Linked DNA regions of Rattus norvegicus. The protein of the gene in region 2 binds, or shares a complex with, the protein of the main gene of each other region. Each region holds a gene or a part of one and is shown on either strand. Other genes may lie near its edges.

Evidence for each region. The genes of interacting proteins can lie anywhere in the genome.
Region 1: the proteins of Abcc9 (region 2) and Kcnj8 are in contact, whole or in part, in a cryo-EM structure (PDB 7MIT), measured with the Rattus norvegicus proteins. Residues at the interface, in XP_038963045.1 of Rattus norvegicus: Phe5, Ile10, Tyr13, Asn14, Ile15, Val19, Asn22, Cys24, Phe25, Ala28, Leu29, Val32, Val35, Phe36, Phe39, Phe42, Pro43, Ile44, Phe46, Ile47, Gly48, Trp49, Gly50, Ser51, Lys55, Gln57, Ile58, Asn129, Phe130, Lys132; in NP_058795.3 of Rattus norvegicus: Met1, Leu2, Lys5, Ile7, Ile8, Pro9, Glu11, Tyr12, Val13, Leu14, Ala15, Arg16, Ile17, Ala19, Glu20, Asn21, Leu22, Leu45, Ala46, His47, Lys48, Asn49, Gly54, Arg55, Phe56, Leu57, Asp59, Ile60, Thr62, Thr63.

Annotation. Positions count from the first base shown.
Region 1 is NC_086022.1:177,240,140-177,243,648, forward strand, and holds the end of Kcnj8 (ATP-sensitive inward rectifier potassium channel 8), read right to left. Parts: intron 1,580-3,509; coding exon 679-1,579; 3' UTR 553-678; downstream 1-552. UniProt on the Homo sapiens protein: Inward rectifier potassium channels are characterized by a greater tendency to allow potassium to flow into the cell rather than out of it.
Region 2 is NC_086022.1:177,362,247-177,365,898, forward strand, and holds part of Abcc9 (ATP-binding cassette sub-family C member 9), read right to left. Parts: intron 1,985-3,652; coding exon 1,799-1,984; intron 1-1,798. UniProt on the Homo sapiens protein: Subunit of ATP-sensitive potassium channels (KATP). Can form cardiac and smooth muscle-type KATP channels with KCNJ11. KCNJ11 forms the channel pore while ABCC9 is required for activation and regulation.

The DNA.
Region 1 (3,509 bases), about 120 kb from region 2:
TGCCTAGTTTCCATGTTTTACCACACCACACACTGTGTTAATTCAGGACATCTCTCTACTCTGCCCTTACTTGAGGGCTCAGGAGTTAAGGGGGATGAACCTGGGCTCTGGTAGAAGATCTCATCTCTGCTAAGTGACAGAAGCTCAGACATGCAGGCCAACTGACTCAGACGGCAAAGGCTGCTGGGAAGAAAACAGAGTTTCCAGATGAGAGGAGGATCAGAGAGGAAGGGCTCAGGTTTCTATGGCAACCCAAACTCAGAAAGACAAGCCAAAAAGAATGCTTCAAACCAAAACCCAAATAAACAGAATAGGAAAGGGAAAACTGTGGTTGTCTTTGGCCACAGACCTGAGCAGGGATCTTAGAAGGTGATATCATCTTTATGTGACTCCATGCCTCTAAAAATGTCTAAAAGTGTCGCTGCTGCGGCAGTCTGTGTGAGGAAACAAGTGTGAGCCGCGAGCCCTCTGCTTTGTGTGCTATTGTTTATTTATTCAAGAGGTTTAATTTCTCAAATATGAATATTTTTCAGTGCCTTAAAATACGAATACTGTTGTGTTCCTGCCCTGAATTGGCGACAGGTCCGATACTTCGATCACCAGAACTCAGCAAACTGTCTCAGGATGGTCTGTCAGTCATCGGGACTCAGTGAGTGGCTGTCTAGGGTCGTCCTGCCCTCATGATTCTGATGGGCACTGGTTTCCTTCTGGAGTCATGAATTGCACCTTGGGCACCATGAGGGAAGAGTTATTCCTCCGGATGGAGTTGCTCCTCCTCATGGAGTTGTTTCTTCTCATAGAGTTGCGCTTCCTCAGAGAATTCTGGTGCGACAGTTCACTCTTTTGGAGGGTCTGAATCAAGATGGAAGGTTTCTCGTCCAGCTCCCGGGCACTGCATCTTGGCGCCGCCACTCTCACAGTATTACCAAATTTAGAATAGTCCACAGAGTACACTCCCTCCTCCTCAGTCACAATCGACACGAAGCGGTGTCCCCACTGGATCTCCTCTGCAATGTAGGAGGTCCGCGCTTGCGTGGTGATGCCCGTGGTTTCCACCACGCCCTCGAGAATCACTATGACCTCCAGGTCTTGGTTGACAAGGTCAGTGGCTGAGATATCGTACAGGGGGCTACGCTTATCAATCACATGGCAGATGATCAAAGGGGCCACTAGGAAGATGTTATTGCTCTCGATGGGATTATCCACAGGGATGTCCTGCTGGTGAATAGGCACCACCTCTCCTTCTGGCGTCGTGGTTTTCTTGACCACCTGGATGCGCACCGAGGCGCTAATGATCATGCTTTTCCTCAGGTCACCCACCCGGAACATGAAGCACAGCTTGCCATTACGGACCGCAATTACAGCATGGCGGCTGAAAATCAGCGTCTCTGCCCTTCTGTGGGCCTGGGCCGTCTTCATGAAGATGCAGCCCAACATGACCGCGTTGATGATCAGACCCACAATGTTCTGCAGAATCAAAACCGTGATGGCCAGAGGGCACTCCTCAGTCATCATTCTCCCTCCAAACCCAATGGTCACTTGAACCTCGATGGAGAAGAGAAACGCAGAAGTGAATGACCTGTAAGGAATGATATCAGAAATAACGCCAGGTCAGCGTGGGCGTGGTGGAAAGTGCCCAGGAGGAGCCACGCTTGCTACTACAGCCTAGTGACTTGGGAAAGATTCGTTTTTAATACAAGCACCCTCCCCACTCCTTTCTCCCTCCCTCCTCTCTCCCACAACCTTCTGACATCCTCTCCCTCTCCCTTTCTCTCTTTCTCCCCTCCTCTCTCCTTTTCCATTTGTATGCTTCCTAGATCATATACCATGTGAAGACATTTATAAAAAAAACAACTAAATATAAATTGTAGATATATTTCACATTTACCAAAGCCTAACTTACTTTCTGGAATTTTCTACTAGCTAGTGTTATTTATTACCTACTTGTGTTTGAGAGACTTGAGTTCATATGGAAGCTACTGGGTAATGGCTGAATGTTGTATTATTTGTAGCTTCTGGAATTATAGTCATTATCCAGTAATTGGTTGTCCTGTTTACAAAATCCAGTACAGTGGTAAAACATGGTGTAAAACATGTCATCCAGAAAACATTTGTATTTTAATAAGGAGAGTTGGGTTTTTTTCCATTTGGAGAAGTTTTTATTGATTATCTTGTTTTTCATGTGACCCAAAAACTATGTATACATAATGACTACATCCGTGAGTCCTGTCAGATCTGGCCTGCTGTTCTCAAAGGAGCAAGGGGAAAGAGCTAACTGGTGTCAGGATTTTCTTGGGAAGGTGTTTTCTGGTTGTACATCTCCGCATCTAAGTGAATAGACAAGGGTTTGGAGGGCTCCTGCTGGACTTGAGTGAGTCCTGGGTAATTTTGTTTAATCTCTGGCTGAGAAGAGTCACATTTTGTTGTTAGCAAATTACTCGCCTGGCTGCATACCCAGGACTGCTGGGGCTTCTTCACAGCCGCTATTCCTGACACTCACCCCAGGTCCACACTTCGCTAACTTCATAGGAGAGAAACCATACATTACAGTCTGTCAAAATATTATCTATGAATACCAGGCACAATGAGAAAACCAAACATTTGAATTTGAGCACTCAATACATGCTGCCCTTTGGCAGGAAGCCAGGAGAGTGTGTGAGTCCACACACATCCATCTGCTTTCAAGTGGGGTAGGAAAAGAGCCCTTTATCTCTGTTGTGGCTAAAACAGTCCATGCAAAACTCTAAGAATTGACTTCTGCCCTCCTTACACACCCTGAGATATGTGGCATGGATGGGAAACACACAGACAGTAGAAACAGGCCTCAGAAGAGGGTGCACATCTAACACTGAGTTTAACAATGGTTTGTATGTCAGAGAAGAGTCCCATGTCTGTCCATGGCTTGGGAGATGGTTCCTGAACCGTGTTTTTAATATTGTTTAATTCAATTAACAATTAATCAATTAATTCAATTTCTCTATCCAGAATAAGAACAATATTTTCTGGACACCTGTCTCACAATCTCAAGTGGAAAAAAAAAGCCTTCAATGGAGAAGGGATGAGGGCAGAGCGTCAGCTGAATAATAATGAGGAAAATAACATTGTTTCTATTTTCTGACTCATGTTGCAAAGTCGTCTGCACAAAGGAGAAAATGTGCCACCCTTAAGTGAGAGCAGCCAAGCAACTTTGGAAATACTGCTGGACAGCCACTGAGGAAAAGTTGCTTCCACATTTGATGATTTGCCTGACATTGAATTTATAAAAGAAATGGAAAACAAGCAATTAGAGTTATGTACGTCTTCAAAGTTCTCTAGGAAGACAATAGGCTTTACGTATACTAAGGAGCGTGATCTAAAAGCTAGCACTGTTAGGTTGATGAAGTCACCTTTGCTTCACTGTAGTTTTGACACCATTCCTCACAGCTTAACACCATTAGGAATGCATCTAGGAAATAAATATTCTTCAGAATATCTTCTTTGGATAAGAAGTAACAAGAAGCAGGTTTTAG
Region 2 (3,652 bases):
ATGCTTCAGTACTACTTAGAAGGGGGAACAAAATAATCACGGGAGGTAGAGGATGGGAGGGACTTGTGAGGAAAAGAGGAGAGGGAGGATGGAAGGGGTGACAGATCAGGTGTAGGAGAAGATGGGGGATATGTACAGAGGGTGAGGAAATTGTGTGGCAATGGGGATGGGAAACTGAGGGTAGCCACCAGAAAGTCCCAGATACCAGGAAAGCAAGAGGTTCCCAGGACCCAATGGGGATGATATTAACTGAAACACCCAACAAAGGCGAGAGCGAACCTTGTGGAGACCATATCCAGAGGTTAGGCACAGACCCTAGTTGAGGGATGGGGCCACCCACCCTTCTCAAAAATTTAACCCAGAATTGCTCCTGTCTAACAGTAATGCGGGGACGAAGAGTGGAGCAGAGACTGAAGGAAAGGCCATCAAGAGAGGGCCTCACCTGGGATTCCATTTCGCACACAGCCACTAAACCCAGACTCTATGGTGGATGCCAAGAAGTTGCTGACAAGAGCCTGATATAACTATCTTCTGAGAAGCTCTGCCAGTGTCTTACAGATACAGAAGCAGATGCTCGCAGCCAACCATCTGACTGAGTACAGGGACCCCAATGGAGGAGTCAGGGGGAAGGTCTGAAGGAACTGAAGGGGTTTGCAACCCCGTAGAAAGAACAACAATATCAACCAACCCGATTTCCCAGAACTCCCAAGGACTAAACCACCAACCAAAGAGTACCCATGGAGAGACCCATGGCTCCAGCTACATATGTAGTAAAGGATGGTCTTATCTGGCATCAATAGGAGGAGAGGCCCTTGGTCCTGTGAAGCCCCAGCATAGGGGAATTCCAGGGCAGTGAGGCAGGAGTGAGTGGGTGTGTGTGGGGGGCAGCACCCTCATAGAAGCAGGGGAGGGGAGGGAATAGGGGGTTTGCAGAGGGGAAACCAGGGAGGGGGATAACACTGGAAATGTAAAAAATTAAATAAACAATAAAAAACTTAAAAAAAAGAAAATTATTTGCTTTACTAAAAACATTAAATTCCTCTATAAATAACCATGCTTGAACTTCTCATACCACTGCATTAATAAAAAGTGACAATTACAATGTAATCTTTCAATAATGCGTTTCTTTTCAAATACACGGTGAACCAGGCAGGCAAGATGGCTCAGCAGGTAAAGGTGCTTGCCACCAAGCCTGATGGCCTGAGATCAACCCCAGGATCCACACAGTGAAAAGAGAGAACCTGCTCCACTCCCGTAAGTTGTCATTGAGCCCCACACGTTAGCTATGGCACCCGCATGCCTACGCACAGTAGTGATTTCAATAACAATGTTGCCTGTCAGCTCATATGTTTGAGTAGTTGTCCTGAGTTGGTGGAACTGGTCAGGAAGGATTAGGAGGTATGGCCTTGTTGGAGGAGGGGTGTCACAGAGAGCAGGCTTTCAGGTTTTAATTGCCCATGCCATTCCAAGTTAGCTCTTTCTCAGCCTCATGCTTGTGGATCAAGACGTAAGCTCTCACCTGCAGCTCTAACACCCTGCAGCCTGCCTGCCCACCAGCCCGCCCGCCTACCGGTCCACCTGCCTGCCCGCCCGCCTGCCTGCCTGTCCGCCTGCCTGCCCGCCTGCCTGCTGCCACGCTCGAACGCCCCCCACCGTGATGGTCATGGACTCACCCTCTGAAACTGTATCCCTTCAATAAATTGTTCCTTCTATCAGTTTCCTTGGTCATGGTGTCTTCACAGAAATAGAAAAGCAACTAATACAAGCGATAAATAAATTTTAAAAGCCGTGCACTTACTCTCGTCGTGTTATTCTTCGGTTCATTCACACGCTGGACGATTCCGGAAATACAAAGAGGGCCGGCAAAGCCCAGCAAGTCAGCCAAGTAGCGGAACGTGCTGCTCAGCAGGATCGGTCTCCCAAAAGCCCTGTACATGGCCAGCCATATGGAGGGAGTCCGATTCGGATGATCCGCAGCCTTTTTCTGAAACAAATGGACTGAAGTAAATAAAACCTTAGGACAGCAGTCGGCCTCGGCAGCTGCGAGGTGCTTTCTGAAGTCCCAAAGATAACTGTGGAGACATCAGTGGGACGTGGGAAAGTCTGCATCCTTTCATTTAATACAAATATTAGCTATTGGACCCCACACATACACACAAGAGACCTATACAATGGAGTGTACAAGTCAGTTCTACACCTCTGTCCTTAGTCATCACCGGATTCTTAAGGACAAATGCATACTGTTATGAGGTTCCAATCACATTTCCTTTCAAAAGTACCATGAGCAGACAAGATGGCTATGTGAGTAAAAGTGCTTGCCACCAAGCCTGGTGACCTGAGATCAAACCAGGATCTATGTGGTGAAAAGAAAGAACCCACTCCTACAAGCTGTCCTCTGATCGTCATGTATAAGACATGGCACGCACATGTCCACACGTCAACTCACTACAGTGATTTGAATTAAAAATGGTCTCACAGGCTCCTGTGTTTGAGTGTTTTGTATTTGTGAGAGGTTCCCAGTCACACTCTGTGAGCTAAAGTGGATTATCACACCTCATTTATCTTTCACATTTTCTCAGCTTCACAGAGAGGAGTCGGTTCATTTTGAAATCATTAGAGGCTATGCTTAAAAAAGGGAAAAAAATGGATACATGCTTAAGGTAACCATTGACTTGTGAGCCGTCAGCCGTTGTTTGTAAAGACTTTAAGACCTGAGCGTGTGTGGTGGCAAAGAAACCAGCTCACTGTGGTGGAAGGCTGGAGGGATGGTTCAGCTGGTAAACGGCTCTTCTTGAAAGCTTGAAGACAAGAGGACAATCCTCAGTAACCACATGAAAAAGGTCAGGCATGGTGGCTTGGATTCCTAACACTGAGCAGGCATGCCTGGCCAGCCAGCCAACTCCATGGGGGTTGGGAGGTAGCTATGTCTCACTGAGAGGCTCTGCCTCCTTGACCTCCACAGACTGGAACAGAATCATCTTTCATATTCAGTTGTCCACTGGACCTCATGATTTCTACATTTTCTCAGGTTCACTCACATGACATGAGCACAGAGACTTGAAGCTGTTCCTTGAAGGCACTCAGGGTAAGTTTACTCTCTATTTTATATATTTTAAATGAGAGAAGTTTACAGATTTTGATGTAATATTTCCTCAAGGAAAACCAAGAAGTGACTCAGGCCCATTTGTAACAACTTTTCCTGCAATCGCAGTTTCGAAACACAAGATTCTGAGACAAGAGATGGTTTTCATCATTTACCATAAACAATTAGTTGGTTTTCAATTAACATTGCCACAGTGCTCTAACAGATTCAGCATTCAGGATTCTGTCATTGTGAATATCAACATTGTAAAGACTGTTGCAACAAAAATACATCTAGAACTGTGTATCCCACCTAGGACCCCTTAGAATAGTAATAGGACAAATTTCAGATTTATAAAGATGGAAATGAGGAGCAAATGGGAAGAAGATGATGAAGATACATTGTATCCAGGCATGAATTTGTCAAAGAATAAGGCAAAGGTACCAATAGCTCACACGTTTTAACTTTTCTCAAGGATCTTGTGAATTGCTTTTCTAAGTATGATAAAAAAAAAACATATGTTCATTAATAATTACTTTAAAGAAACCTCACATTAATTACCAACAAACA